Linked DNA regions of Rattus norvegicus. Each later gene encodes a partner of the first gene's protein in a complex. Links are inferred from orthologs where the notes say so. Each region holds a gene or a part of one and is shown on either strand. Other genes may lie near its edges. The genes, in order: Tubgcp3 and Tubg2.

Region 1 (16,104 bases):
CCTATCAACCGTCTTTTCATCGTCACGGGAATAAAGCCATGCAAATCACTAAGGAGGTAACAGCTTGCTTGATTCAATGCCACTAACTCCATGTTAAAAAATTTGAGTAACCACACAGTAATAGGTATTTCACACGTGTTCACATACACTCTGTATGAACGTATTTTAGTGGTCCAGGTATACAGATGCTACGCAGGAAAGAGCTTTAAGCAACATTATCATGGTCACCACTAGGGTTCCTACCACTGTCCATATCACCCTCTCACACCATCATAACCACATGACCACCCCCACCCCATCCCTACCACCCCCACCCCATCCCTACCACCACCACCACAATCACCACTACCGTCACCACCACCGTCATCACCACTACAGCTGCCATACCGTCACGAGGTGACTCTGCCGACTTGGTCACAGCTATCATTTTTGTAGTAGGTGTCTGATCATGACAAACTTGGTGCAAGAAATTTATTGACTTTCCTATCAAAAGGACCTAAAAAGAAAAATAAGCTATGATTCATCTTTACACAAGTTAGTGATCCAAACACATCGAATATTCCCACATTGCACATTAGCTACGGATTTTAAAACACAGGACATAAGCACTGGATCTCCACCAGGTAAGTTCTAGGAGCTCAAACAGCACACCAACAAACACACATCACCATGGGCCACCAGCAGAACACAACCAAACTTCCTTAAGTGACGCTCAGCTGCCACCCACCTAGTCCAAGCACTGAGCAATGGCGGTCAACATTGAATGGGGGTGTCCTGCCCCACCTACCTTCCTAGACTGGTCCATCGTAATAAAGGAAGGGATCATTGATTTCCTCAGGGTGTACTTGTCATGCCACAGACGGTCGGTTTTAACTGTTGGATCTGACGCCACAAAAAACTAAGAGTAAAAGAACACTGGGCGTTAGAAATAGCTCTGAAAAGACGTGGTGGTGCACACCTTTAATCCCAGCACTTGGGAGGCAGAGGCAGGTGGACTCTTGAGTTCAAGACCAGCCTGGTCTACATGATAGTTCCAGGTCAGCCAGGGCCAAACAGAGAAACTCTGTTTCAAAAAACCAAAAATTAGAATGAAGAAATACTTGTGAAAATACTATAGTAACAAGGACATTAATATAGTTACTCTATAAGTAAGTTCTTCAGACACAAAGAGTCCACTCGCTTACACAATAAACTTATTTAACAAAGCACTCTGGATGGAAAGCTAGGCTGTGTTCCAGATAATTTAAACCAAACCACAACAAAAGCAAGTTGCACTTCTCCGTGAGGACTCAGGAGTTAGATCCAGAGTGAGGGCAGTGAAGCCTCTCCCTGGCAGCCTCCAGGACCCGTGTCCCGAGGGTTCTGCTGCCGTGGCATCCGCACGAAGCTCCAGCACTTTCTCAGCACTCAAGACCAGTGGCCCTCATTTGTGCGCTCATGACCACCTCCACCTCAGAGTGCAGTGCCACAGGCTGGAGCAGCAGCTGACACAGTGTCCACAAACGACAACACAAGACAAGAGTCCACAACACAAGAGCTCCCATGCCAAGGCCACCAGCAACCAAGCAGCCAAAGGGCGCTAAAGAGACTTTCTTATGAGCCTCTCCCGGCACTACCTATGAGAAACACACCTTCTCCCTCATCCAAGTCACAGGAAGAAGATCCCGCGGCCACTGCCCCCCTTATCTACAGTACAAAGAGACCACTTTCAGGTGAGCTACGAGGCTTAGTACCACTGCCCTGATCCCTACCAACCCACTCTCCAGAAGCAGAACTGACGAGTGAGTTATGTCCAATTTCTATGTATCTGACAGCACACACTTGTGTGCTAGCACGCCCACCAGCAGGGCCCCTGTATTCTATACCCTTAGCTAAATGAGACAGCAGACGGCCACAGTGCCAATGCCCTTTGGTGGTTCCCCCGGGCCCTGACCTGGTCTGGTTGCTGCTGTTAGAAGTGTAAGCTTCCTATTCTCATCCCACTTTCCAGATTACAGAAACAGCATTCAGTGTACTCTTACCACTCTATTTTGTCCTGTATTATATCTATCGCTATTTACCTTCAAAAAATATTACCCTTTCATTAGGAAAGCTTTTTGATTGAAATACATTACACTCTAACATGCTACTAAATGTCAAAAGCAATCCGGGGTAGTACATGCTTTAATCCCAGCAATTGGGTGGCAGACATATCTTTGCAAGTTCTAGGCCAGCCAGGACTACATAGCAAGATTTTTGTCTCAAAAATAAGTAAGTAAATAAATAAACAACCTGTAAGTGAGAAACTACTAGATTAATTAACTCCAACAGTGGTTTATCTTGGGTTTTGTACTTAAACAACAACACAGTTGATAATAAAGCCAGAGTTGCTGGGGAAATGCCAAGAACAAGCGAGCATGCCAATGACCCGTAACGACCATGTGAGCACTAACACAGCCTCTGACTTTGTCACAGCCTTCCAAGGACTCAAAGAAGAGTACTAATCCTTCCAGGAAAAACAAGATGCAAATTTACATTTATAAATACAGGGCATACTAACAGCTAGTCAGGATTTCAAAGGAACTTTATAAGAACTGGATGAAGAATAGCTGAGTGTCAGAAAGTGACACTCATCATTTACTTCCAAGAAAAAATGAGGTAGGACATGGTGCACAGTCCATGTGAAACTGAGAAAACACAGCACACTCCCAGGCTAACTTCTGCTAGAAGTGCTTACACCAGCAAGACATTTAAGTTGCACAACTGTGTAAACCAGAAAAGCTTAATAACTGACACCACATAAACATTTTGCTGTTTTTGTTGTTTTAGATGGCAACATTCTCTCAGAGCAGTTAACGAGTTTTCTTCTGCAGAAATCCACTCTGAGATGATAACTGTCATTTAAGATGAGGTCTCACCCATGGGTTTGCAGGCTAAGCTTTTGAATGCTGACACTCTTGTGACCAGATTATTTGTTTCTAAGGGATTATTTGTTTATAAGTAACTAATCTAACTTACACTCTTGCTTAAAATACATTACGGAGGCAGCTTGGAGAAATAAACGCTCCATTAGGATGAGGTTATCATGTAGCACATACTGAACTAGGAAATGCTCTAAACCCACCGTAACATCTCCCTGGCGACCTTCACCATGCCACCACTGCCCTTTGGCTTCCCATTCAACAGATTAGATTAATTGCATATAAATTATATTCCTGTGATTCACTTAACCACAAGAGCTAGTTTTTATAGACAGCACACCAATTCATCCTGATAGTTTGAGTGCAGCTGGGTTTCCATCAGTCTGAACAATAAGAAATTTTAATTTAAACTATTAAAAACCTCCCAGGCAATTCAGTCATCTTTGGAAGTCATGAACACATTGCTTCATCTAGGGCACAGGAGCGTGCAATCACTCTACGAGCAGCCAGTGGCGAGCACAAAGGGTGTGCTCATCTTTAGAATATAATGAGCTCTGTGAGACATATATGGTGGCAGAGGAAGGACCAAGGTCGGGATATAATTGCATAAGTCTGCACTGTAGTGATGCACTGCCCCTCAAGGTCCTTTAATTTCTACCATTGTGTCAATCACAGAAAGAATCCAGGAAAAAATAAAACGTCATTGTACCCTGATTTCTCATTAACTGCTAGACAAAGGCACACTCCCACCCCAAAACAGGAGCAGAGGGGTGATCCTCAGCGTGCAGCTTCGTTTCTAGGAACCAGACACATCGGCAGATGACAGAGGCTCCCACAGCAACCTCCCTCTCCCAGCACCCACTCAGGGCTCCAGCTTAGTTCTTAAGAGAGCTCACGTCCCCTTCCGAGGTTGAAATCCAGCAGCTTCCTGATCACAAAGGTCATGGACAAGGCAAATGCTCACAGAACAGTACTCAAAGGGCTTGGTGGGCTAAACTCAATCCAAAGCATCTCATGTGTGGGATGTGGGTGGAGCTGTTTTCTTTATGTCGTGTTGGCAGCATTTACTGACATAGAGAAACAAGGGGTTTTGTCACTGTCTGATGGTCCGTGAGTCTGACCACCTCCCTCCCGATGTACTTCCACACACACACGATGTACTTCGCCTAGGGTTTCCTCATGATAAGACCACGTGACCTAAGACGGGCTAAGCCAATTTCTTCCTATCTTTTCTCCCGGACTGGATCCCTCTCCACTCCTGTCTTGCCAGAGTGAACACAGTGCTGAGTAGGAGTGATGGCAGCATACACACTGTCACGTTCTTCAACCAGAGACAAGTGGGACAGCCTCTTACCAGTCAGACTGTAACTGACTGTCCCAAAGCCAGACCTTTTCTGGTGAAGGTTTTACCACCCAATTGTGCTAAACGTCAATAGACAATTCTCTAACATCAACAGAGTAGACTGGGCCCCTAAATTCTTATCATGCCTGTCACGATGGTAGACTAAGGTCCACACCTATGTAATGAATTACTGGGATAAATCTCCGTTTGATAACAATGTTTTCAATATGTGGAATTCTAAATTCTGCTTTTAGAGGCTTCTACACCTAAGAGAATATCACACATTTGTCTTGTGTGGTGCTACGCTGGCCTCATAAAATGAACTTAAACCTTCCTTCCTGTTGTACTTTCTTAAGTTTGATATGCAAACAAAGGGACTGGCAGACAAAGGACTAGGGACCTTGGTCTTGCCCGTGCCCTGTGCGAACTCGGGTTAGACATTGGTCTCTGACTGTAGAATCTTTAGTGTGGGGAGGTGTGGGTAAACTGATGGATCAACAGAGGAAGATGCTAGCTCTTAGCTAATCCAGGAAAGGGTCCAGGAGATATTTGCAGAACTCATAGAACTTTCTTAAACTAACTCAAAAGAAAAGCTTGAAAACAATATAATCTTGCCGAGGGATGAGAACTGATTTTATGCTTGCTGAGTGCAGAGATGGACTAACTCTGGCACTCAGCAGACAAACACGCTCACTGAGTAACACATAAAGCCCAGGGCTGGAGCCCTGGCTCAGTGAGGAGGGGCAGCTCCGAGCTTAAGAGCAGGTGTCACAGTTGCAGAGGATGGAGTTGATCCCCACCACCCACAGTGGATGGCTCACAACTTCCTAGAGTTCCAGCTCCAGGGAGCCAGAGCCCCCTTCCATGGACACCGCGCTCACCCACACACAATTTACAAATATGAAACAAGGCTCTTTTTTCTTGGTCTCACAGTCGTTTGCATAAATGTTACGGTTTCCAATGCTGTTGTGAGACTTCTGTCTGTGCCTCTGCATCTTTATGTTTCCGTGTCCTTCCTTTGGCTCCTTTTCTTCTGTTTGTTCACTTATTTCTCCTATTCCAGCATATTCGTTTTTATTTTACCATATTTTATTATTTTCTAGATGCCAATTTGTATTCTAATGAGAGGAAAGGGCGGGAGAGGAGGTAGGGAGGACCTGAGAGGAGCTGGGGAGGGGAAACCATAATCAGAATATATTATATGGAAAAAATAGAAAAAATAATAATATCATTAAAAAACAGAAGCAAACACCCTGGATATAGTGACACATATCTGCAACCCACATACAAAGACACGCATGCACCCATGCATGCTCACAATAAATCAAACGTTAAGTCTTACTCGTATTTCAAGCAACCAGGTATCTTCAGAAAAATACCCCACATGTATACCTACAGCGAGCGCATCAGTCTGAGAAACGTAATCAACAACTGTGTACGCACATTTCAGAAATCCAGACAGAAGCTTGGTGATACAGGTCAGTGGAGCGTTTGTCTGGCAAACATGGCCTGGATTCAACCCACCGCCCACCTAAAAAATATCTTCTCCTACACCCACTTCTGCAGCAAACAGCAGGGTTTCTGCTGTGAGTGCTGTACATTGTGTCTGTGAACGCCTCAGCCTCTTAGCATACGTGGACTTACGATACAGCTCTGATCGTGTTTCCGTCTTTCCTTTCTTACTGCTGCGGACAACACTTTTGAGTGTGTTGTCCCTGTTCCCCAACAGCCAAAGTCCTCTGGTTTACCACACAGTCTGTGCCAGGTATCTTAGGAACTCACATGTTGCCTCACACGTAACTACTGTTTTCAAAAGGAAAACAGACACGAATGCAGTAGCTTGCTTTACTCAATCAGCAGCACCTAGGGACCAGGTTTATAAAACAGCCATGTAAGAAGACCGCTGCCCTGGGCTGAGTCGCCAGGCCCCAGAAGAGCCGCCCTCCCTGTGCCATCAGTCCGCTGACTCCCAGCACTGACACTGGAGTGCGGGCACAGTGCGGTTCAGAGCGGAGATAATGGCTGAGAAAGGCACACTGCAGAGGTGGTAGCCATGCCCCGTAGCCCCAAGCCCCCATACTCACTTCATGGTAAGTGTCCTCCAACTCCCCGTCGTATATCCATCGGTAGAGGAAGCTCAGGACAGGGTGAGACACTAAGCTCAGAATGTGCTGCACCAGGGACTTCATGTAGGGGTCCCCTGTCTTTGTGTAGGCGTGAACAGCAGAGGCCAGCTCACCCCCCTTCCGTCCTAGGGGAAATGGGGGAAAATACACAGAAATAGCCACATTTGAATTCATGGCACAAACCAATCAATAAACACTAACCAAAGACAGCCAAGTAGCAGAGATAAAATGCACCTGCTTTCTTCAGTTAGCGAGGACTTCCTATATTCAACACAGCAGCAGCGGGCCATGCACACGGCCTGGGCACTAAGATTCAGAATCTGGCTTTATACAGAAATACTCAAGGAAGAGTCAGCCAAGAAGTTTGTCAGGTGTAAAACCAGCTGCCCAGCCTAGACACTTGAGTTCACACTTCATGTTGCACTTTAGTTCACATCTAAGTACCCATGAGACGCAGACGGTGTAAGGATCAGGAGTGACAAGACTTGGGCTGTGGCACACAAGGCCCAACTCCCTGCAGTGCAGTGCAGTGCAATGGTTAGTGTGACACTGTTCAGCAGGACCCCTGAGGAAGGTGCAGAAGCCACAGAACCGGGTCCCGGCAACACAAGCACAGCAGTCATCAGTTTGTGTCAGAAGCTGAGGGCTTTACATGGCCCCTAGTTTTATACAGACTGCTCCGATGTGCAAGTAAAGGAGTATGAACAGACACCCAGGATTCCAGGAGCAGGTCTTACAGCAGTGTCTGCGAAGACCAAACAGGACAGACAAGACTGCTGCAAGACACAGAGCAGCCTCACACAGAACACCTCCTTCCCAGCGTCATCTCAGGCTAATGGCAGGCTGCCCTGGTCCCAGGTTACTTTCCCTGTGAGCCTGTAGCTATGATCTGCAGTACCCTCAGCCAGAGCAGAATCACAGGCCCTACCTACAGACAAGTTTTCACTCAAGCATGTCTAGAAGCACAGAAAAGAGGAACTCAGGAGACCTTGGCAGTGATCTACCAGCGCAGCAAGGGTCTTTAATCTTATTTTGGGATCATATGTCCAAACCAGGAGGCGCCGCAGTGTGAGGCTACTCTCCAGTCCCACATTCACACCCTGATCATCTTCTAGCTGGAGCTAAAAAACAACAGGAAAGGTTAAGCAGAAGTGAGTGAGTACAGCCCATCACCCCTAAACCCACACACGGTGAGAACAAGGCCTCAGCTACCCTAACAATAACGTCACAGTCGTTTGTAAAACTACAGCACTCCCAGGCTACATATGGTAGACGGGCCCGGAAATGGACAATTAATTGGCTCTAGGCTGCAATGAACAGATCTGATACTATGGAAGCCATTACTCTTGTATACGTACGAAGTAACAAATCCTCTCTACATTATTGATTTTCTAACTCTTGAAACTTGAAGGACTCACAGGGGAAGTCCTTACCTGGGAGTGCAGAACAGAGAGGAGCCTGTAGTATTCTTTGAGCTCTTGGTGCAACGCAGCACAAAAACTCTGTGAGGGAAGACAGGCAAGGTTAAAAAACACGCACACACACCTCGCTCTTCGAGAGGAGACAACGCCTTCCCACAGAGCTCAGTGCAGCTGAGATCCTGAACCTGTAGCATCTATTTTGATAACAAGAAGCTTGAACCTTACAGAAGAGAAATGGAGATGTGTCGGATTTTCATGAAGCTACATGTGTGGGTCACTTCAGAGAACGGCCCTTTAACATGGCGTCCTTTCTAAGTTTTAGCAGTTACAATAACTTTCTTGAATGCTTTTCCAAGCATTAGGAACTTCTGCCAGCCTCAGTGTTGACACGATTTACTTTCCCATGCAGAGCACTGAACACTGCCTGCTCTCTGCATCTCTGACCTGAACTAAAGACACTGTCAGAAGTGGGAAAGAAGGACCCGCTGGCCTGCAGTCCAGTGAAAGTGTCCTCTGGCATGAACCCAAGGCTATAAACAGAGCACACAGTCCAAAGTCTGTCTGCAAGACACGCTACCATCAACAACCATAAGGCCTGAAGCCTTACCCCATTAAATAAATATGTGGGCTCCATGGCTCCCCACCTTAGGGCTATGCACCAGCTCATAAATCATGGGCCTGTTTTGCCACTCAGAAGAATGAAATGCCCTTTTAGTTTTAAAAATGAAACTAAAATACAAAATACCCTTCTGGTTAAAAAATGAACACAAAAGGAACATTTTAATCTCCTGTAGTTATAAAAATAAGCTTTGCAAAACACACCAGCCTTGCAGACACACAACAACACTTCAAAGGTCAGACTTGCAAGATGAACTGCCCCAACCTAGGGAACCACAAAGTCCTCAGTGAAGTGCTGGGCTCCCAAGGAAGGCTAACACTTCCAAAGCTCCCACTCCCACAACCACACACATACACACGTGGATAGGTTTTATATACAGAAATAACTAGCATGGGACATAGAAATCCTCACTGACTAGCAGTTTCACTAATGTTCACAGAGGCAGCAATGCGGAATTTGTTCAGGTACAACATCTCATTTTACAAAACCACCACCCCAGAGTCCAAAAGGACAGAACCACAAACATATTTATATAAAATATAAACAATTTATCAAATGATCAAGAGTTCACGTTGTAGTCTGATGTGGAAAATGCAAACATGCAGACTACACAGCTGAAATTACTAGTTGGTCCACATCAAAATGCCACACAGCAGGGTTCTCTCAGCACATTCCTCTCCCACAGCCAGAGGGAGCCAGTTGGGCCGCCTGGGCTTGCCAGAGGAGGAGCAGAGCTGAAAACTGTCTGTCCTAGGAGCCAGTGTCCCTCTGCACAACCCGTCCCATGTTGAGTCTGAGAAGGGCTCTGCTGAGGCCTCAGGGAGAATGTGCATAGAAATGACCAAGACAGGCACAAAGAAGACAGTCCAGCAGGAAGATGGATCCCCAACAAGAGCAGTCAAGCAGGCTAACACGGACGGCCATAACTCCTTGACAGCAGCAGCAGCAGAACAACAGACAGAAAAGGCTTCATTCAGTACAGGAGTCACATCACCCTACCTGTGCTGTGAGACGCTTATGATGCTACTACAGTGGTAAAGTATCTAAGATACACATCTGACAACTTGTCAATACCCAGGCTGTATAAAAGGGTGGAGAGAGCCACACTGTCTGAGTTTCAAAAGAATAGAACTGGACATTTCTCAAAAGGCAAAGCCAATAAGCATATGAAAAAAATGTCCAAATCACTAATCATCTGGGAAATGCAAATCAAAATGTGAAAGACTCCAGTAAGAGCCGGAATCATCAGGCGGACAGGGAGGAAGGGGAGCCAGCACACTGCTTGTTGGGGTGAGCCCTGGGTCAGCTACTAAGAGGCTCCGCAGGTAAGTACCCAGCACAACTTCAAGTGGCAACACGCCATGGGCCCTGCAGACAGTCAGTGTGCTGAGGGGACAGCGGCACTGTCCATCCTGGCTGCACTATTCACAACAGCCAAACGTGGACGTGGGTGTCACAGGCAAGACACACCACATCTTCCACACGACCAGAAAGGAGTGAGACTGTCATACAATGTCATACATTCTCCTAGACAGGACTACGAGTGAAGCAAAGAATGGACTCTGCCTCTGTGCTACAGGCGCTGGCCCCAGGCAGGCCTGCTTCTAATATCAGCCCTCAGAGGAGGAGAGGAGCAATGGCCAGCAGGCCAATTTCCTAGGCAGAACCAAGAGGAAACTGCTAGGCTCAAGGCCAGGGGCTAACTACGCAGTCTCTCCTCACCTTCAGTTATAGAAAGAAACTATGGTGAATGAACAGAATCTGTGTAGGGTGACAAATCTGTGCTGTCAAACTTGAAACTTCAAAGTCCTATTCCTGACCACAAGCCATGCAGCCCTCCCATGCTCCTGACCACCAGCCCCACTGCAGCATCTCTCTGTGCTGTCTCTGAGAGCCTCTCAGTAAATTTCTGTCAGTAACACCAGCAGCAATTCCTACCTAAGAATCCAACTGAGACCAAAGGCATGGACCACTAAACCTGTCCAAGAGGCTGGGGCTCTGGAAGTACTCCACACTCACATTTTATTCTGCTGCTCCCTCAAGATCCAGCAGTCAAGAGACAAAGGTGCCTGCTTCAAGTGACACTGCAGTAGGTCCCTCAGTGCCCACCGTGGACACCCTGGCAGTGACACCTGTAAGTCCCCACTTCCCACATCCGTGGCATTAGAAATGGCAGTGATTTCTACAGGGCAGGCCCAAGCTCTTCCACTTCAAAGTCCCTCCCCCTCTCAAGCTCTTCCCTCTGGCCTTGAGGGACCTCCCTCTGCCATCCCCTCACAGTTCCTGCACACTCCCGGTGGCTCAGGACTGACACTTTCCTCAAGAAGAGCCCTGACGGTGTCTCATACTTGGACCTTACTTAGATGAAGCACCTACCTAACGAGGATGAACATACCTGCCCTACAAGTCCAAACGAGCGGTCCAGACTCCTCTGGTCAGCATACTTCCTGATTTTATTATGTAGCCACCCCAATTCAGCAAGCCGGACCGCCGTGTCCCGCAAGGACTTACTTAGATTTGCCTGAAAAGTAAGCACAGATAAAGTCAAAACTCAAAGATAGCGGTAGACTCATCGTCAGCCCTGCCACTTGTCCTAATATCCTCACGTTAAACACGAGCACAAAAGGTGGTTAAGTCACCAGCACACCACAAGCTGAAGAGAGCACAGGAACAGGGAGGCCGAGGAGAGGCTCCAGGCTCCCGCTGTGTGGCTCCTGCAGGACCACTCTGGGATGCCCATCAGGAACCCTGATAGTCCTCAGAGACTGGGGGACGTGATGACCTCTGTCCTGCTGAGAAGAGCTGAGAGCGGGCAGACTCTCGTGAGCAGGGATGTGGGAAGACTGCATCAGGGAAGCACTGCCACAGAGGGACTGTGACCTCAGCCACAAACGGTCACAAAAGAAGTCAAACCGGGCTGCGAAACTTGTTTACTGCCAAATCTGCCCAGCCCCAGGCACAGCACTGGGAAGACTGTGTGGACGCTATCTCTGGACGCTACAGCGGGGCCTGTCGCTTACCTTCGCTTCCACTTTGTAACAGTTTTCAGTGCTGCTCATTTTGATGTTTTTGCCGTCAATGCCCTGGAATACGTAGAGAATGTCTCTCACAAGAGCTGCTTCAGTTACTTCCGATGTGCCTGCAGAATGATTGCAAAGAAAGTAAGGAGCACTCCTGGCGAGCGGCACGACTGATTAGCACCTCTTACACATCTGCTCCCAGATCACATAGACCAACTCGGGAAGTGGGCTCAAGAAACAAAAGAAAGGTCACATTTCGGAAAGGTGAGGGCTTTCTGAGGGGCGGTGCTCCTACAGGGACCCCAGAAGGCCTCTTCCTGTGACCATCAGACAGGTAACAACATAAATGAACCAGAAGGAGTGTAAGATAGGGAGCTTGTAATACCAGCTTACTACATGGTGACAGCAGGACAGGATCCTCCTAACGCCACTACAAATGGAGTTCAGAGTTCAGAGAAGACATCGGCCTCCCCACTTCTTCTGAACAAATATCACAATAAACTTAGAGTGTTAGCCAAAAATGAGGGCAAAGAGGCACAGCACCCAGAACCTGAGGGAGCCCGAGATGGTCATGAGGAGTCAGCACTCAGAGCCATGGCAGAGAGAACAGCTGGGACACATCCTCACGCTGTGGAGAGGGCTGTTAACCCTCCATCGGGTTAACGGCGCCCTTCCCATCTCACATGGCATCCCTGTCCATCCCCACTGGGGCTCAGCTACTGAGAAGCAGCTCACATGGACTCCTCTGCTTTCTTTCCCCTACTAAAGCTCCTTCAAGAGGAGACCGTCCCTGTTCTAAAGGCCCACCTACACCTCGATGCTTCAAGTCTCTTCTACAGAGGCTCTGCCCCTCTGTGGGTAGTTTCACAAGCATATACCATCCACCCATTTACTTTTAACCTGTTTGCAACTCTCTACTCAAAATATATCTCTTGTACGCAGCAGGTACAACTCTGGAATTATTTTTTAAAACTGTCATTGAAGAGAAGTATTTGTGCCTTTAACAAGTACACCTAGGTTAAAGCAGCCAAATTGCTGTTGTTCCTACTCACCCCACCTCCCGCCCGCCTGCCCATTTCATGTAGTCCACTCTGGCTATATGGGAAGCACAGGTCTGAGGGCTAAGGACAGGCCACTGGTTTATTCCACACACCTGAGTGCACACCCTTACACACTGCAGGATAATGTGGCTGAGAAGGTTCTGCATGAGGACAGCTGCACGGGCAAAGGCTTTCATATACCTTGAGCTACAAAGGGCACTGGCCCCTTGGTTACTCTTAAGGAGAGGAAGCAGCAACCCCAGCCTCAGGATCAGCAGACCACGAACCAAAGCAAAGCCCGTTTCACAGTACTAGTGACTCAGAACTAGTGACCTGCCAAACACTGCTACATTTGGCACTCATGAAAGACACAACTCCCTGACAGCCTAACGCAATGGTAAAACCCTTACAGAGGTCTTCATCTCACACCTCAGAAACACCTATGAGCTCCCTTCACAGTACAGGCACTGTGATAATCCCCGCCCCACAAACGAGGTGGATACCACCCCCCTCAGACACAAGCAACCTTCCTGACTTCCTGTGTGGCTTCCCAGGAGGGATGACAGATAGATAGAGATGGGAAGGGGACTGGGTCAAGGAGGCATCAAGGACAAGAGAGGGAATAGACCAAGCAGACACCAGTGACCAACAAAAAGTGACCTCACAAGGCATCTGCCCACAGGGACCCCGGGTTTCAGTCCATGAACACTAAGGAATCACTACAGATGGGGTGCTGAATTCTAAATAACAAAACATCTTACCACCTGGATCCCCTTCTCTCCTTGACCTTGTCAGGTTTCGAGAAAGAGCATTTGGGAAAGCCTTGGAGGTAGGGGTCTGTGAAGGCTGATTTCCAGTCAGAGTCCATGCTAGACGAGGCCCCAGCTGCTGCCGAAGGCCGTCACCCACTCCTGGAGCTTGATGAGACTGTCTAGAGAGTAAGAAAGAGACATTTGTGGCTTCAGCTAAGCAGACTACCCACGAGAGATAGAAACGTTCCAGGGATTCGCCTATGTTATTATACTATGTTACTTTATAGATCTGATACAGGGCTCTCCAGAACCACATGTCCCCATAACAGTTGGTTCCAGTCCCCTGCACTGACCCGGTTTTCAGACCTACTCCTAACTGGGCATCTCGTCCGACATCCATACTTCTCCACTCGAATTCTCTACAAACACACAGCACACACCACGCCTACACAGAGAAAGTTTGAAACCCTAGTTTAACTACAAGATCATGGCCTTTCATTCATTCGACATTTCCCGAGCTGAGAGGTCTTAACACCTGGGCCCTGTCCCATCTGTGGTCACTAGCCCCCACCCCACCCTGTGTGTATACTATGAAAAGTGACCCTGCAGTTTAACCCATTTGAAAAAATATACAAATACATAAAATGAAAGGCAAAAGGAACCCAGAAAATACAGTCGCTCTGTGAAAATCTAGGAGCATGATGTTTATGTTTAGTGACAACTGTAACAAAACTCCTGCTTTTCAGGACTGAAACAATCACAGGCATTCAGGGCACCTGCTCTCCTAGGGGCCTGCACACAGGGGGCCCGTGTACTGGGGACCCTCCCTATGACAACTACCAGGCCTGTCCTACACTACACTCGGTGGGCACAGGCTTGGCAGCAGCATTCAGTAATACTGTGCATCTGAAAAAAAGTATAAATGAAAATGAAAGCCTAATTCTGCTCAGAATTGTCTTTACAACTTTTCACAACATCAAAAGGCATTCTAAAGTCCAAGGTCACAGATGAGACGCTCTCAGCCAAACATGGTCCTTGGGTCAGCTGTAACTGCTGTTGATCAAGGTGACAGGCTTGTCACAGAGCAATCTGTGTGTGGTACACACAGTCTACCCTCAATACCATCGTGCAAGTTTAGGACTCAAAGTAACATGTGATTCCACTGTGCTCACGTGGAGAGCACCAAGCCTTTGACGCTGATTCTCTGGTCAACGCTCCTCTGGAAATCACCAGCTCAGTCCTGTCACACTGTGATCACCAGGAGTGCCAATGGCATGAAGCTCACCCTGCCCCGCTTAGCTGCACATCGATGGCTGCATCCTTTTTGCTCACAGCACCAACTGAGAGTCTGAGAACCTCAGCCTACAGAGGACTCACCTGCTACTTAAGACTTGAGTTCAACAAGAACAGCTTGCTAAAAGCCTGGGAACAGACCTAAAACACTGAGAGCCACACCCACACCCTGGCTGGTTTGTGTGTGCGTGTGTGCATGCATTCGTGTGTGTGTGTGTGTGTGTGTGCGTGCGTGTGTGTGTGTGTGTGTGTGTGTGTGTGTGTGTGTGTGTGTATTTCTGTCTGTGTATACGTGCGCCCGAATGCTCGAGTTACCCGGGGAGGAAAGGCTGCACAGGTGTGGGGCCGCTAAGGCCACACATGCCGATACTGCTGATGCCGCTGCTGCCCAAGCTGCCAGAGCTCTGTGTGCTGCGGTCCTGGTAGTTCAAGGGGAGGGTCTGAGGCCTGGCACAGTAGTAAGGCGTCGAGTGAGCGTCTCTCGGTAAGGCTTGTGCAAATAAGGAGGCATAGCTAGTTACCTGGAATGAAGCGCACTGTAAGCACATAGGTCAGAGACTGCAGGTGCGCTCGCCCAACCCACAGGACTTCACATGCCTGTCCCATGCTATCTCTGCAACTGGATTTGAATTTCACACTTATTCAAACAAGTCAATGAAAATGCTCCTGAAATTCGTAAGTGAAAATATCAGACATTCTCTAAACATCACCATAAAGCACAAACAAGTTTATAAGTACACCCCAGCTACACAATGAGGAGGTTGGAGCGAATCCTCCATCCGTACTCCTCAGGATCTTGCCAGTCAAACATCTGCTGTGCTGGACCCCACAGCCGGGAGGAGCCCGAGGCTCAGGTAAATCTGGCAGGGCATTCACAGCAGGAAGCCTGCTGGTAAGACAGGGACAGGCTCTCCCAGCTCAAGAGCTGCAGACCTTCCAGGCTGATGGTCCTAACGTAAGTGTCAATTCTCTGACCACTCGGGCTGCTCAACGACACTGCTGCATCAAAAAAACAATTTTGAAACACATCTTCTGGAAGCTGCCACTGGAAAAGAAGAAATGACGTGGCTTCTAGGGTTGGTGGGCCTCTTACTTTGCTCCCGCTATTTTCCTTCCTATAGACTCCCAGAGCTCCCAGGGACTAAACCACAAATCAAAGAGTACACACGGGAAACCCATGGCTCCAGCCGCAGATGTAGCAGAGGATGGCGCTGTCTGGCATCCCTGGGAGGGGAGGCTCTTGGTTGATGCCGCAGTGTAGAGGATGCTAGGGCAGTAAGATGGGAGTGGGTGACTGGGGGACACCCTCATGGGGAGAGGGGGATGCAATAGGGGGTTGCAGAGGGGAAACCAGGAAGGGGGATAACACTTGAAATGTAAATAAATAGAATAATCGATAATAAAGAAGAAAAGAAAACATGGTATGGCATGCCACAGGACTCCGCCCTCCCGCACCCACCTTGCTGGCTTGCTTCCGAGGATCCTCACTGAGGTTCAGCAAGAGGTAGAGGATTGACCATTTATTCTTCAAAACTCCCTGTTTAGGTAAAAATATTACAAGAGCAATTGTATCAACTTTGCTTTATTCTCG
Region 2 (16,204 bases), on another chromosome or scaffold:
CAATCGGAAACACCCGAGTTCGGGTGTTTTGTTATTAGTTACTTAACTATTTGTGTTCTTCGTTCCCTGAATAAGATGGATGGTTCATCTGTAGCAACACCCAAGCTTGCTGCATCTCTGATTACATCCAGCCATGATAAAAACAGCTAATGTTCCTTGAGGGTTTGCTAGGCACTGGGTGTGTTAAGTGCCCGTTCTCCAGTCTCACCGAACCACTACTAATGATCAGTTCTCAACAGAAATAGATGGAAGGGTTCACCCTCAGCTGCGCCAACACACAGATTTCCCAGTTTCCCACTCATCTCCACAGGACTAAGAGGAGAGGACACCTCTGCCGTGTCAGGGTATGATCTGCACATTCTAACCTTGCTTGCCTATAAACAGGGATTTGGAGACAAGTCTCCCCGCTTCTGGCACAGTAGAAGGCGCAATAAGGAAGGCACTGTGATTAATCCAAGAAAGGGCGAAATTCAACTCTTACTCCCCAAGCTTTCACAAACTGCTTACAGCTTATTTGAAAGGCAGTAAACTGAGCCTCACCAGGCTCACCCAGTGGGGAGGCGAGTTCACACCCATTTGCCCGGGCTTCTGGGTAGGCTCTGAAAAGTGGAAGGCCTGGCCTCAGAAGATCATCCCACCCAGCAGTCTCAAACCCCCAGCTCTCCCACCCCACTCTCAAACTTCAAAGGCTGCAGCTAGGCTCTCCCTGGCACTTTCTCTTGGGGTCGCTTGCTAACTAACCTGTAAGAGGAAAAGAGTCCTGGCACCGGGAGGGGGATGCAGACAGCCGAGGCCAGGGAGGGCTGTGGGGTGATTTAAAGCCTTCTACAGAAGTCAGAAGGTTCTATGCGGAGAGCCTGGAAGGCAGCCAAGTTCTCTTTTTAAAAGAGAAAGGAAAGAAAAGAAAAACCCTTGTCTGATCATGACTTAGTAGAGGCACTTTGCCTAACAATTTTCAGTGTCTCCCTCCCAGAGAAAGGCAGCCAGACCGGGACTGCCAGACCCAAAGGAGGCCAGAAGCCTGCAGCTGGTGGCTAACAGCCCAGCCAGATTGTAGAGAGCAGCAAACAATCAGCAAGCAGGGCTTGGAATGTTCCAGAGGCTGGAGGAAGAGGCTCCGACCGAGCCCTCAATAATTGGTTCAGAGACAATTAGACATCCATATGGAAAAAATAAAATAGATCCCTATCTCACGGCAGGCCTCCAGATAAATTCCAGATGAATTGAAGACCTACAGGGAACAAGCTGAACTATCCAAGCGCGGCTGGAAGAAGGCATAGGGTAGATGCGGGGCTCCGGGACAAACATGTAAGGAACGATATAAAGGAAAAGATGGGTGCTATCCTCATGAAGAGGAAAATGGTAAGCAGGAGTTCAGGGGTGATGCCCGCTGCGCTCGCTCTGGAGCTGACTCTGGGGCTCGCTCTGGGGCTCGCTCTGGGACTGGGAGCAGGAAACAAAACTCTTTTTCTTTTTTTTTTTTTTTTTTTTTGGTTCTTTTTTTTTCCGGAGCTGGGGACCGAACCCAGGGCCTTGCGCTTCCTAGGTAAGCGCTCTACCACTGAGCTAAATCCCCAGCCCCACTCTTTTTCTTTTTTAAAATTTTATTTTCAAGACAAGGTTTCTCTGGGTAGCCCAGCTGTCCTGGGACTCTCTGTATAGACCAGGCTAGCCTGGAATTTAGAGTTTCACCTGCCTCTGCCTCCTGAGTGCTGGGATCAGAGGAGTGTGCCACTTTAAAAAAACAAACAAACAAACAAACAAAGAAACAGATAAAAAAAAAACCCTATTATTGTGTATATAAATTTCTGCAAGTGAAGGCCAGAGGACAATTGTATGTAGTGAGTTTCTCACCTACATTTGGGTTCTGGGAATTGAATTCTTGTCAGCAGGCTTATGAAGCAAGTGCTTTTCCCACTGAAACAGCCTGTCAAAATCTTTTCTAGGTGTAAAACTTAAGACACCTAGAATACACACACACACACACACACACACACACACACACACACACTAGAATACACACACACACACACTCAGTGTGTGTCTGTGTGCAAGTATGTGTGTGTGTGTGTGTGTGTGTGTGTGTGTATTAGACTTTTTTAAAAGACAATGATTTGCAGCGTGCACTTCAGCCAAGCAAGTGCTGTGATGACAAGTGTGCACCACCATACCTGGCTGAAGAATATCTTTCACTGTTTAAAAGAGACAATCCAAGGAGCAGGCAATTCAGAGAGGAAAAACCCCCAAATCATAAGAAAAGTAGAAATGCCAGGTGTTGGTGATCTTGTTACTACCAGGCTGCCTGCCTTTGCGAGATACTCAAAAAACCCATTTTCTTCCAAAAGAAAGAGGAGTCGGGGGAGGTGGGTAGGAAAGTTTAATGGAGTTCAACTGTGATAACTAGAAACAAGAAATTCCATCCAGGATCCAGGGAACTGACAACTGTTGCCATCTGATAGCCCAGGTGCAGATTTAGGTACAAGAAAAAAAAGAGAAGAGTGTAACGCGCTACAACGATCTATAATGAAATAAGAAACCCATTGAGTAACAAGTTTCCCAAAGATTAAAATTCCATCCTGGAAGAAGCTCCTAAGGAGGAAGGTAAACAATTCAAAATAACTTCAGGAAGCCCCTGAAACTGACAAGGGTCACTAGGTTGTCCTTGCCAGAGTAAGCAATAAAAGCTGAGATTGTTTATGGATAAAGAATAAATTTACTTTATTCGTCCACTGGGATACTACCAAGCTGCTGCAAAGAACGAAACCGGGCTGGAAATGCAATTCAGAGATGGGAGTATTTAACTAAGCTTATGAGCACAAAAAACAAACAGCGAAAACAAACAACAAAAGGGGCTTTAGGACAGCACAGTAGGCAAACATGCTGACCACACAAGGATGAGACATGCATTTTGGGGACCTGGAGAGATGGCTCAGTGGTTAAGAGCACTGACTGCTCTTCCAGAGGTCCTGAGTTCAATTCCCAGCACCCACATGGTGGCTCACAACCATCTGTAATGGGATCCGATGTCCTTTTCTGGTGTGTCTGAAGACAGTGACAGTTACAACATAATAAATTAATTAAAAAAAAAAAAAAGAAAGAAGTGGAAAACATACGTTTCCTCTCTGGAACCCACACTCCTAAAAGTATGACCTCCATGGGTATGTCATGATTTTTTCCTGCCTGGTGCCTACACACACAAGATATATACATATATCCTATAATAATAATGAAATAAAAATATTATGGGCCGGAGAGACAGCTCAGCAGTTAAGAGTACTTGTTGCTCTTGCTAAGGACCGGAGTTCAATTCCCAGCACCTATTTGATAGCTCACAACCATCTGTAACCCCAGTTCTGGGGGTCTGACATCCTCTTCTAACCTGTAGGCACACCAGACATACACATGGTACACACACACGTGAGGTATATGTATATGCGGGCAACACACTCATATACCTAAAATGTAATTAAATAAATAATACATAGTGGCCAGGGATGTGGCAGAGATAGGATACGCTGGCTGAATACCTGCAAGGTCTTGGGTTCCATCCTTAAGAACAAATATTTTAAAAGTGTTTAAATAAAAATAATAGTACTATGTATGCATATATGTGTATATATATATATAGCATATATATACTCTGTGTGTGTACAGGAGAGAAGGAAAGAAAAGAAAAACTAAATTTACATATATAAACATGACCAAATCACAACAATTCTAATGTACAGAGAAAAAAAGTAGGTTGCTTTTCTATGCTGTTGTACTCTGACACAATTTATATAAGATTTCAGGGTCAGAGAATTAAGGCATTAGTTAAGGGCATTTGTTGTTCCTACAAAGGATCACCCTCCCACCTGATGCTTTCTTTTGGCCTTTGAGTGCATATTCATACATGAATACAAACCACTCAAAGACAGAAAATAATAAAAATAAATCCTCTCGAAGGCTGGAAAGGTTTTGGTCTGACCTCAAAGCTGAGGTCAAACAGTCATAAGTTCAAGGGTAGCCTGGGCATTTTTGTAAGACCCTGTCTCAAAATAAAAAGTAAAAAGGAGCTGGCATGGAGATTAAGCACCCTGACCAATCTTGGAGAGGATTAGAGGTCGAATGCACACACACACACACCACACACACACACCAAAGTAGTTAAAATAGACATTTAAATTTTAATTTTAGTTTTTGGGGTTTTTTGTTTGTTTGTTTGTTTGTTTGTTTGTTTTTTCCTGAGTACTGGTGTTTGGGCTGCAGGGTCTGTGCTACAGCAGGGACCAGAAGAAAGCATCGGAACCTCTGGGACTGGAGTTGTTAGCCATGATGCACTGTTGTGTAACAATTTCCTCAGAGATTGAAACATTCTATTTCCTCAAGATTGAAACACTCTACCTCTCTAGGAAGCCCCCGAAGCAGGAAGGTTTTAAAAAAAAACAAAAAAACAAAAAACCTCAAGCTTCAGGAAGTCCCTGAAACTGACCAGAATCAATAAGCCCCTCCCTGCCAGAGTAAACAATAAAAACTGAGAGTCCCTTTCAGCCAAGGTAAAGCTAAGCCTCAAAGATTCTCAGACCAGACCAGTTTTCTGGAAGAAGAAAAACCTAGAAAGCTGCTTGAAGGAGGGTTAGACCAACTGAGTCACTTGGAAAGGACAAGGTCCAACCTGTTGAACTGCCTGTAGACTGTGCAGTGTGCTCCAAGCTCCCAGCTTTGTGGGCTATCACCATCCTGGGTGGGCTTTGGTGATGCACCATGATTCATTTCTGCCTTCACCCACATCCCTGTAAGTAACCCCAATAAAACTCACTGGTTCAGCAACTTTGACTTTGGTGTTATCTGTGTACTATGGTCTGTCCTGTGCTTCCTATCTGGGGTGAGTAGATGTGTGTGTTGGGTTTCCCCAGGAAAAGTTTTGTCACTATATACAAGTGCTGGGAACCAAACCCAGTTCTCTTAACTGCTGGGCCATCCCTGCAACCCCAATGGGTTTTGTTTTGTTTGTTTTTTAAGTAAAAAGAGAGCTGTGATTATATCTTGAGGAAGGGTATTAGCCTCATGTGAGAGCAAAATCCTAGGTTCAGTTCCTAGCACCACAAGAAGAGAATGGATCAAACACACACACACACACACACACACACACACACACACACACACACACACGTAATTCTTTACTTTTTATCTAGTTTTAAATTTTATTACTATTATTATTTTATTTATTTTTATTTGTTCATTTTCTAAGACAGGTTTTCACCATGTAGCCCTGGCTGTCCTGGAACTTGCCCTGTAGACCAGGCTGGCCTCTAACTCAAAGATCTGCCTGCATCTGCCTCCCAAGTGGTAGGACTAACGGCATGTGCCACCACTGCCTGAACTATTATTCAACTTTAAAAGGCAAAGCTGGGGCTGGAGAGATGGCTCAGCGGTTAAGAGAACTGACTGCTCTTCCAGAGGTCCTGAGTTCAATTCCCAGCAACCACATGGTGGCTCACAACCATCTGTAATGAGATCTGATGCCTTCTTCTGGTGTGTCTGAAGACAGCTACAGTGTACTTATACACATAAATAAATAAATCTTTTAAAAAAAAAGGGGGGGGTGGGGATTTAGCTCAGCGGTAGAGCGCTTGCCTAGGAAGCACAAGGCCCTGGGTTCGGTCCCCAGCTCCGGGAAAAAAAGAACCAAAAAAAAAAAAAAAAAAAAAAAAAAAGACAAAACTGTTCTGACTGTATGGATCCTTTAAGTAGGTAGAGAAGGCAAATCCCTAAGACAGAAAGGATGGTCAATGTCAAGGGTTGGAGAGGGGTGGCTACACAACTGAGAAGTTTGGAGCTTTAGTTTGGGAAGAAGTTCTGGCTGTGGTGGCCTAAGAGAAACATCAGCCGGGAGATCAAGAGATCATGCCTGTGAGCTACAGAGTGATGCTGTGGTCAGCCTGCGTCACATGAGAGATCCTGTCCCCTCCTCCAACCCCTCAAAAAAAAGAATCAAAACAAAAAGTTCTTACACTTACAAAAGGTTAAAATAGTAAACTTTGGCATGGCAGTGGTGGCGCACACCTTTAATTCCAGTGTTTGTTGGGGAGTCAGAGACAGGTGCATCTCTGTGGGTTCAAGGCCAGCCTGGTCTCAGATCGAATTCCAAGACACCCAGGGATACAGAGAAATCTTGTCCCCCAAAACCACTTGGTATCTTTTAAAAAGGTACACATTAATTAATTAAGATACAGGGGTTGGGGATTTAGCTCAGTGGTAGAGCGCTTGCCTAGGAAGCTCAAGGCCCTGGGTTCGATCCCCAACTCCGAAAAAAAAGAACAAAAAAAAAAAAAAAAAAGATACAGTGTAGCCTGAGCTGCCCTAGAACTCAATGTATAGACTAGGCTGACTTTTCTCTGGCTCTGGGTGCTGGGCTAAAAGGTATGCCTCTGCCTGGACCTACTTTTTTTTTCTTTTTTTAATTTTTTTTTTTTTTTTTTTCCGGAGCAGGGGACCGAACCCAGGGCCTTGCGCTTGCTAGGCAAGCGCTCTACCACTGAGCTAAATCCCCAACCCTTTTTTTCTTTTTTTAAAGATTTTATTTACTTATTTTATATGAGTACACTGTCGCTGTCTTCAGACACACGAAAAGAGGACATCAGATCTCATTACAGATGGTTGTGAGCCACCATGTGGTTGCTGGGATTTGAACTCAGGACCTCTGGAAGAGCAGTCAGTGCTCTTAACTGCTGAGCCATCTTTCCAGCCCAGGACCTACTTTCTAATTATATTTATTTATTCTGTGCAAGTTTGCATACTCCAAGAGCAAGCATATACAGGGGTCAAAGGACAACCCAGGAGTAGGTTCTTGATTCTCTCTTTCCATCATGGGGACCCCACAATCAAACTCAGATATTGTCAGGTTGGTCAGACAGGCCCTTATGACGCCCGCCAGCCTAAGATGGTGATTTATTTTATGACCCAGGGTCTCACTATGTAGCTCCAGTTGGCCTGAAATCCATTAAATAGATTGGATGACCTAGAACTCACAAAGATCCTCCGGGCTCTGCCTCTGCCCCGCCAAGTGCTGGGATTAAAGGCACAAGCCACCACACCAGGTCCCAGATGACAAACTCTATAGTTTTCATAGTGTAAGACTATGAAAATAGCTGAACCCTTTTAGTCCCAGCACTTGGGAGGCTAAGGCAAGCAGATCTATGTATTCGAGGCAGCCTAGTCTACAGAGTGAGTTCCAGGATCGCCAAGGCTACACGGAGAAACCCTGTCATGATACACAAAAAGATAAAATTAAAGAATACACACACACACGGGGTTGGGGATTTAGCTCAGTGGTAGAGCGCTTGCCTAGCAAGCGCAAGGCCCTGGGTTTGGTCCTCAGCTCCAAAAAAAAAAAAAAAAAAAAAAAAAAAATACACACACACACACACACACACACACACACACACACACACACAAATTTGGCTTGGGTTAGATGTGTAGCTAAGTGGTTTGGCTCTTGCCTAGCATGCTCGGGGACATGGGTTCAATTCCCCAACTTAAATATAGCCCCTCAATTTAGCAGATCCGGCAGGTGTAGGCAGGTGACTCCCACACTTGGAGCATCCACCTGGCCGCTTCTCCCTCTCCTCCCCCACATCCCTGGGGATCCTCCGCTGGCCAAGTGTTACCGTGCGCACGCGCACATAGTGACAGGAAGCGTGGCCTCACTCTGCGCCTGTGCTGAATTCCAGCTGCAACTGCTAGGAGAGAAAATGATGCCCAGGATGGGCTCTGCCGCCCGCCGGCTGCGGAGAGCCCACACTGCACACGCGCAGACACAGCGCCCGCATCAAAACAGCGGCGGACAGCGCGTTCCCCATGTCCTGCGCCTCTGGCTGGCAGGAGTTCCTCTCAGCCGTGACCCCCGCCCGGCCAGGCCAGACGAGCTCCCGTCTGATCGGAGATGCCCCGGGAGATCATCACCCTGCAGCTGGGCCAGTGCGGCAACCAGAGTGAGCAAGCAATCACTGTGCCCCGCTAGTCTCTGGTTCTATCCCTCGGGCCGCACTCAAGTGCCTGGTACCCATCAATTCCCTTTGTCCTTCCCATGGACCACCCTTCCTATTGAGCATGATGATTCAGGGAAGAGCTGCCTTCTCAGCCCTGGGCTGTGACATCTTCCAGACCCAGGCGTTTTGGGTCACCTCCTGGAGTGTAATAGGCTCTGAGCCTGGGGTTCTCAGGCCTTAAGGCTCTAGCAGACTTGGGCCTCTTTCCCCCTCCCCCAGTTGGGTTCGAATTCTGGAAACAGCTGTGTGCTGAGCATGGCATCAGCCCGGAGGGCATCGTAGAGGAGTTCGCCACCGAGGGCACTGACCGCAAGGACGTCTTTTTCTACCAGGTGCCCCTCCCCCTCCACAGAAACTTGCCAGGACCTTGGAGACCTGAAGGGACTGGCAGCCACATGGTGCTGGGAAAGTCACTGGGCAGATGGGAACAGAATGGCTGTCTTGAGGGAGGGCCTGCCGAAACCAGAGTTGGGGACTTGACTCATCCTAGCTCCCTGGGCCAATCCTGGCTTCCCTTTGACAGGCAGACGATGAGCATTACATCCCCCGGGCTGTGCTGCTGGATCTGGAGCCCCGGGTGATCCATTCCATCCTCAACTCCTCCTATGCCAAGCTCTACAACCCAGAGAACATCTACCTGTCCGAGCATGGAGGAGGGGCTGGCAACAACTGGGCCAGGGGATTCTCCCAGGTGTCAGTCCCAGACTTTCTTGGTAATCCTAGCCAGGGATAAGGCAAGGCTCAAACAAACCTGGGGATCTGTCCAGGCTAGACTTGCAATTATTAAAGAGACTAATGGATATGTTGAGAAGAGGGACTACTTGGAAGGTTATGCAAATTTTATGTAAATCCTTTCACAAAGTAGCATTTCTGGGTTGAGAAAGGTTGCAGTCGGGAAGCTCAGCTTCAGGATGGCAACAGAGACCAAGTGTGGAGTTCTTGGTGCTGAGAAAGGAGCCTTTGGCCTGACTTTCCCTTCCCCATGTCTACATATAGGGCGAGAAAATTCACGAGGACATCTTTGACATCATAGACCGAGAAGCAGATGGAAGTGACAGTCTAGAGGTGAGGGTGTTCCACAGGGAAACAGACTGGGGGAAAAGATCAGGCAGGATTTAAACACGTGATGCGGTGGAGCCATTCAACTGGGCATCCATTCGGGGACATCATATAGAACGCATTAAGGTGACTAAGCCACTGCCTTGTTCCAGGGAAATCAGAATCTCAGTGCTGTCACTTAGCCTCTCCTTGGTCTCTGAGCCTTTCCAAGGAGCCTCAGAGACAAGGCTGATGTCTCTCTTTGAGATACCTGGACACTGCCTCTTTCTCTCCCCATTCAGGGATTTGTGCTGTGTCACTCCATTGCTGGGGGGACAGGTTCCGGTCTGGGCTCCTACCTCTTAGAGCGACTGAATGACAGGTAAGCCTGCGTTTAAGAAGTCATTAGCCTTGACTCTTTGGTATGCGGGTTAATATTTTAATTACACTGTTGCTTATTTTGGGGGAGGCATACCTGTCCATGCATAGATGCATACGTGTGGAGGTCAGAGGACAGCGTGTGCCGGTTGGTTCTCTTTCACCACGTGGATCTCAGGAACCGCTGAGGTCATTAAGTTGTGGTGGCAAGCATCTCTACCTTACCCGCTGAGTCACCTTACTGTTGACTGGTTTCTTTTTTTTTTTTGGGGGGGGGGGTTCTTTTTTTCGGAGCTGGGGACCGAACCCAGGGCCTTGTGCTTCCTAGGTAAGCGCTCTACCACTGAGCTAAATCCCCAGCCCCTGGTTTCTTTTAAAACCCAGTTATGTTCTGTGAATGTTTTTGTTTTAATCCCAGGTGTGGGATGAGAGGCTGCTTCCCAGCAGGTGATTATGATTTGCCTCATGCACTGGAAGGGGCGTGATCTTTGCCAGCTGCAGATAGTTTGATTCTGGGGACTCTGGAGAGAGTATAAATGCCAGAGGCCTGAGAGGGGCAGGGGTGCTTGAAGGGAGGCTGCTACTCTCCCCCACCCCCCGCTTCTGGTTGCTGTTGTTGGTTAACAGGAAGCTGGAGATACCCTGACATGAAGATCGAACTGGCCCCAAGAAGCTCGACAGCCCTAATCAGCAGGAAGTAGTCTAAAGAGGACTATGACCGCTTCCCCCTTTAGCCTTCTTTCTCCCATATCTAGTGTTTGGGGCGTTGGAAGGGATCAGAGTGAAATAAAGGTTGGAAGGAAGGTAGAAGTAAAAAAAAAAAAATAATAAAATAACTAAAAAACAAAAAATGCGAACACCTCATTGGTCAATAAGAAGAGAGTTTTGATGAGTTACCTACCTTGAGCTGACCTGTTAACATGTCTGGAAGGGACTGGCCTGATGGTTAATTGATACAGGAAGACCTGGCCTATTGTAGGTGGCACTATTCCCTTGGTAGGTGTTCCTGCACAGCATAAAAGAGAAAGCTAGCTGCCAGCCAGCAAGCAAGGATCCATGCATTTAATTCCCTCTGCTCTTGACTGTGGACATCCTGCTTTGACTCCCCAGAAATAATGTGTTGTAACCTAAAACTGAAAGTCAAACAAGTCCTTTCTTTCCCAAGTTGCTTTTTGCTGTGTTTGTCACAGTAACAGGAACTGAAGTAGAATTCCTAGATAATCTCTTTCCACGTTGTTTCTTTACCCCCTTGAGCTGGAAGTTTTGGGGGGTTCTGTTGTGTTGTTGTTGGGTTTTTGTTTGTTCATTTGTTTGCTACTCCCTGAGTCACCGGGACAGAACCATCCAGAGAACACCTTGGAAGCAAAAACTGGGCAGGGAGATGGGATGTTCCCTTGGGACCTACAGAACGTGGCTTGTCCTCTGGGTGCCAATTTCTGAGGCGTGCTCTTGATCCTTTTGTACACGAGCTCAGTGGCACTTGGAAAGGAGATCGATGGCTGGGGAGGTCCTTCCGGTTCACAGTGCCTTCCTCTGCTTTCCCTCTTCTTTGCCCTCAGGTACCCCAAGAAATTGGTGCAGACCTACTCTGTGTTTCCCAACCAGGATGAGATGAGTGACGTGGTGGTCCAGCCCTACAACTCCCTCCTCACCCTAAAGAGGCTGACCCAGAACGCGGACTGTGTGGTGAGGAAAGGAAGAGGGAGTCAGGACTTAGCTCCCCTTCTAAGACTTGTCCGTGCCCTTCTCTGGCCCTGGCTCACACAAAACACCCAACAAAGCCATGACACTGGGCCAGATTATGAACTAAGATGCCAACTTCCAAGTTGCTTCCAGGATTTTGGGGCAGCCACAGAGTATTCCCCTGTCCCGGCATATTACCCCATTTTGCCTATTCGGTGCCTCCTTGTGCTTGAACTCAAAGGTCACTTTAATAGCAAAACCTCCCCGCCTCCATTATTCAGATTCCTTTGTGTATGTTGTGAACTAAACTTGTCTTAGGTGCACGTGGTTGTTTATGCCCGTAATTCCATTTTTGCGTAGGCTGAGGCAAGAGGATCACTATTTGTTCAAAGGATAGCCTGGGCTACATAATTAAGTTCCAAGCCAGACTGAGCTATGGACTGAGATCTAGTCTAGACTAAAAGAAAGAAATGGGGGTTGGGGATTTAGCTCAGTGATACAGTGCTTGCCTAGCAAGCGCAAGGCCCTGGGTTCGGTCCCCAGCTCCGAAAAAAAGAAAAAGAAAAAAAAAAGAAGAAATGAAGCAGGATTTTACTAAATCTGTCCTAGCTGACCTCAAACTTGTGATCCTCCTTACCTTACCTTTTTCTTAAATGTATTTATTCTATGTGAATACACTGCAGCTGTCTTCAGACACACCAGGAGAGGGCATCAGATCCCATTACAGGAGGTTGTGAGCCACCATGTGGTTGCTGGGATTTGAACTTAGGACCCCTGGAAGAGCAGTCAGTGCTCTTAACCGCTGAGCCATCTCTCTAGCTCCCCTACCTCGGCTTTTTAATTGGAAATGTGTGTACTCCCATGCCTGCTGTATTTATGGCTAAAAGAGACTAAATCTGAGCTATACCTCCAGCCTTGTTTCAATAATTGCTTTTTCCTGGACTGTAGGCCCAAGGGCGGCACATATCTGTTCTCTGTAGTCTCTCTAGAACCAAGGCATGTGGGGGACATATATGTTTATGGTCCTGTGTCATGCCATTACTCTTATGGTATCCCAGAGATAGAATATTTCTTTGAAGGTAGCAAATCTACTTCCTGGTTTGGGAATTTACAGACATTACGCATTGTCTTATTCCGAGGTCCCCTTTTGCCTCAAAAGATGTTATAGAGCCCCATATCCTGCCAGGTGGTGCTGGACAACACGGCCCTGAACCGGATCGCCACAGACCGCCTGCACATCCAGAACCCATCCTTCTCCCAGATCAACCAGCTGGTGAGCCCCCACTCCTGGAATGAGAGCCCTCTGTCTGCGAGAGAGTCATCAGAGGAGGGACGCTCCACCTCCATCAAGTCCCATGACACAGTATTTCCTGCTCCCAGGTGTCCACCATCATGTCAGCCAGCACCACCACCCTGCGCTACCCCGGATACATGAACAACGACCTCATCGGCCTCATCGCCTCACTCATTCCCACCCCTCGACTACACTTCCTCATGACTGGCTATACCCCCCTCACCACGGACCAGTCAGTAAGAGCTCCCCCAGTGTCCCAGCACTGAGGCCTTTCCCTTTTCCATACTCTCCCACACAAAGCCACTCTTTGCAGCCCTTCTCTACCCACCTCCCCAGGTTCTATACTCAGGGCCTGACACTGCCACCAGTTTGCAGCCCTGCCTCCGTGTTCTACTACCTTTGTTTGGCTCCTGCAGGAGTGCTGCCCAATGGGGTCTCCTGCTCATTGCTCAAGGGCATGGGATTGGTGAGCTGAGAGCCATGATCGATCAATTGATCGATCCTAATCCCATGGCAGAGACTCAGCACAGACCTGATCTAAAGACAGTCCCCAGAGGCCACACCTCCTGCCAGCTGATGGGGACAGAGTTGACCCTTCTCCTCTGTCCATGCCACTCTGAGTTGCTCCCTGACTGCTGCCCGGGTCCCTGTGAATCCCTGTTCCCTCAGGTGGCCAGTGTGAGGAAGACAACAGTTCTGGATGTCATGAGGAGACTGCTACAGCCCAAGAACGTGATGGTGTCCACAGGCCGGGATCGTCAGACCAACCACTGCTACATCGCCATCCTCAACATCATCCAGGGAGAGGTGGACCCCACCCAGGTAAGGAAGGCCTCTTTACCCTAGCCTGGGGACCACAGGATGGAGAAGAAGCCACCACCACCTCTCTGCCCACTTCAGGTTCACAAGAGCCTGCAGAGGATCCGGGAGAGGAAGTTGGCCAACTTTATCCCCTGGGGCCCGGCCAGCATCCAGGTGGCCCTGTCAAGGAAGTCTCCCTACCTGCCCTCAGCCCACCGGGTCAGCGGGCTCATGATGGCCAACCACACCAGTATCTCCTCGGTGAGCACAGTCTCCTGTTGTCCCTGTGTTACCGGGAGTCAAACCCAGGGCTTCGGGAATGGGAGGTAGCTCTCCCCACTCTGAGCCACACCCCAGCTCCTGGTCTTTGGCCACTCTGCTCCATTCCCTATGTCCTTAGTCCCCACCCTGTCTGTCCCTAGTTCTGTGTTCTGCCTGCATGCTGTTCTGAAGCTCTCTTTCCCTCTAGCTTTTTGAAAGTTCCTGCCAGCAGTATGACAAACTGTGGAAGCGGGGGGCCTTCCTGGAGCAGTTCCGCAAAGAGGACATCTTCAAGGACAACTTTGAGGAGATGGACAGATCCAGGGAGGTGGTGCAGGAGCTCATCGATGAGTATCACGCTGCTACCAGGCCGGACTATATCTCCTGGGGCACCCAGGAGCAGTGATTGCATTTTCTGCTGTTCCCCTGGACAAGCCCAGCCCCCACCATGCCTGGACCTTCTGACACAATGTCCCCTCACATTTCTGAGTTCATGTCCCGTCTAGGAGCTGTTCCTATCTCTTCCTTCTCATTCCTGGTTCTTCACTGACTTCTTTGGTTCTAATAAAGCAAGAAGGCTCGATGATAAATACAGCAGAGCTTGGTCTGTGACTATGGGACACCAAGTGAGCACACCTTCCATATGACAACACATGACAACAGGCTGGCCTTCACCTGCTCCAACTTACTCCTTAGGTCTTAGTGTGTTTTCACTGTTCCCCATCTTACCTCGAACCAGCCTGTTTTCCTAGGGGTCAGTCCCTCTCTTGGGATGACTGAAAGTTCCTGACCTGCTGTATCCTCAGTGCCTATGCCCCTGTTCCCAGTTGGGTGACGTTGCCTTAACCTCTTATACTCAAGAGATACAGGGTCTAGGGACAAAGGGGCCATGGTGGTCTGAGCAAGTTAGAATAGCTAGGATAGAGGAGTCCCATTGTCTAGGACCACCATCGTCTTCAGGAACATAACCGTACTGAACCAGCCTGACAGAATAAAAAATTCAAGAGTAGTCCTGCGCCCACCATACCAGAGATGTTTCTACATCTGCACGCGGCCCCAGTCACCTCTCCATTTCATTCTGAAGGCACAGGGAAATGAAACATGGACCAGATAGGGCCCAGGAACTGAACACCAAGGGAGGACCTGGGTAGTGCCTGTCTTGATGACTCACTGCCCTCACAGGCCAGGGATGACAGGAGGCCACCCTCATACCACTTCATGGCAAACAGAGGGTGAGTAATTGCCAGCTTCCAGTATTGCCTTCTTGCCCGCTCCACCCACCATCCTATGATGGCATACTGGCCAGGAGGAGGTTAAAACCAGAAGGTCAAGGAGGGTGGAGCTCTGTGGTATCCAGACTTCCCTCAGTGCCTGGTAAAAGCCCAGTGTGTGGGTGTCCTGGAAGGGGGGAGGGGTTGTTCTGAGCCATGGGGACTCCGACTTGTCCCACCAACAACAGTCCCTCAGGAAGGCTTTGTGTAAATAGCGATTTTTTTCTTCTACAAATAAATTAAGAAACAAACTAGAAAACTGTCCACACCCATTGCTGCCCTCTGGTGTGGGTGTACCCTGTCCCTGCAGGGCCAAAAAGGGTCCATGGTTGCCTCAGATCTCGGAGCACTCCCGGTCTCAGGCTGGAGGCAAAAGAAAAGTCCTGACCTCTTGGCAGACTTAGTCCTGCAGCTGCCTCAAGCAGCCAGACTGTCCCTGGGGCTTTTCCAGAACTTGGTGCTGGCTGGGAGGGGAGGTGTCCGACAGGTCTTGGCTTGGAGGACCAGAGCTGCTGCAGGGCCTCTCAGGGGAGGGGTTGGCCAAGTAGGCATTCACGAGCTCCATGATCTCTTCCACCTAACAGAGGGCAGAGGGCAGTGTGTAACAGGACCCACTGGGTTCTCTTTTTCTTTCCTCTTCCTAAGCTCTAGGGCTCAAGCTTCTGCTAGGTAGGTTCCTGCATGTTCCAGGCTGAGCAACTTTCTCTTCCCTTTCACCTCTCTCCCTTCACACTCATTCCTCCCACCTCTCATCTCTTTCCCCACATCTTCCTAAGGCTGTCTTTGTGAGACTCCCTCCCTACTTACCCAGTGCCTCAGGCCTCTCCAGTGGACTCCTGTCCAGTTACTCTTTGTACTATCTTGGTCTTAGTCTATCATTTGACTCCCCCCAATCCCTTGAAAGCTCTTTAGGCTTGCTTCTGACCACAGCTGGAACCCGAGTATGTACAGCTGTACCTATGCCCGCGTTTTCTCTTCAGCCACCCTTGTTCTCACCTGGGGACTCTGCAGGAGGAGCTGGCTGTCACCCACCCTCAGCGCTAAGGTGTGAGGGCCTATTAGCTGGCAGGCGGCCACATGACCATAGCTGACACTGTGGATGGGTTCTGATTCACCAGGCCTGGAGAGCGACATGGCCTTTGCTCCCAGACCAAGGCAGAGCTTCTGTGGAGCACCTCCACCAGGCTCCTGCAGAGAGATGGGCGGGGTCAGGGTCGAAGGCGGGGCTGCTGCATCTTTATTTCTGGTAAGGGAGATGGCTGCGATCCGAAAGCTTCCTTGACCCTTGATTGACAGCACAGGTGTGGAGTGGCCAAAAGCACCTGGAGGTGCAAGCCCAAAAGCCTGAGAGTCCAGGAGTTTGAGATGGGCGAAAAAACCCTCACTGGGGGTATAGAGGGAGGCCTATGGCTCTGGGATAAAGGTATTGGGGCTTGGACCACCAGAGT

Evidence for each region.
Region 2: Tubgcp3 (region 1) and Tubg2 share a complex: the UniProt entries of both Homo sapiens proteins name them as parts of the gamma-tubulin ring complex. The link is inferred for Rattus norvegicus from reciprocal best matches to the Homo sapiens genes TUBGCP3 and TUBG2.

Annotation. Positions count from the first base shown.
Region 1 is NC_086034.1:83,570,186-83,586,289, reverse strand, and holds part of Tubgcp3 (gamma-tubulin complex component 3), read right to left. Parts: intron 16,051-16,104; coding exon 15,973-16,050; intron 15,035-15,972; coding exon 14,829-15,034; intron 13,400-14,828; coding exon 13,230-13,399; intron 11,548-13,229; coding exon 11,429-11,547; intron 10,930-11,428; coding exon 10,804-10,929; intron 7,871-10,803; coding exon 7,802-7,870; intron 7,490-7,801; coding exon 7,357-7,489; intron 6,494-7,356; coding exon 6,327-6,493; intron 899-6,326; coding exon 788-898; intron 497-787; coding exon 388-496; intron 1-387. UniProt on the Homo sapiens protein: Component of the gamma-tubulin ring complex (gTuRC) which mediates microtubule nucleation.
Region 2 is NC_086028.1:86,583,791-86,599,994, forward strand, and holds Tubg2 (tubulin gamma-2 chain), read left to right. Parts: upstream 1-7,819; 5' UTR 7,820-7,924; coding exon 7,925-7,973; intron 7,974-8,249; coding exon 8,250-8,362; intron 8,363-8,553; coding exon 8,554-8,721; coding exon of another isoform or gene 8,722-8,743; intron 8,744-9,026; coding exon 9,027-9,095; intron 9,096-9,370; coding exon 9,371-9,450; intron 9,451-11,005; coding exon 11,006-11,132; intron 11,133-12,315; coding exon 12,316-12,402; intron 12,403-12,509; coding exon 12,510-12,659; intron 12,660-13,092; coding exon 13,093-13,245; intron 13,246-13,323; coding exon 13,324-13,485; intron 13,486-13,693; coding exon 13,694-13,891; 3' UTR 13,892-14,075; downstream 14,076-16,204. Other genes in the region: Plekhh3 (pleckstrin homology domain-containing family H member 3), read right to left, coding at 15,157-15,333, 15,753-15,944. UniProt on the Homo sapiens protein: Tubulin is the major constituent of microtubules, protein filaments consisting of alpha- and beta-tubulin heterodimers. Gamma-tubulin is a key component of the gamma-tubulin ring complex (gTuRC) which mediates microtubule nucleation.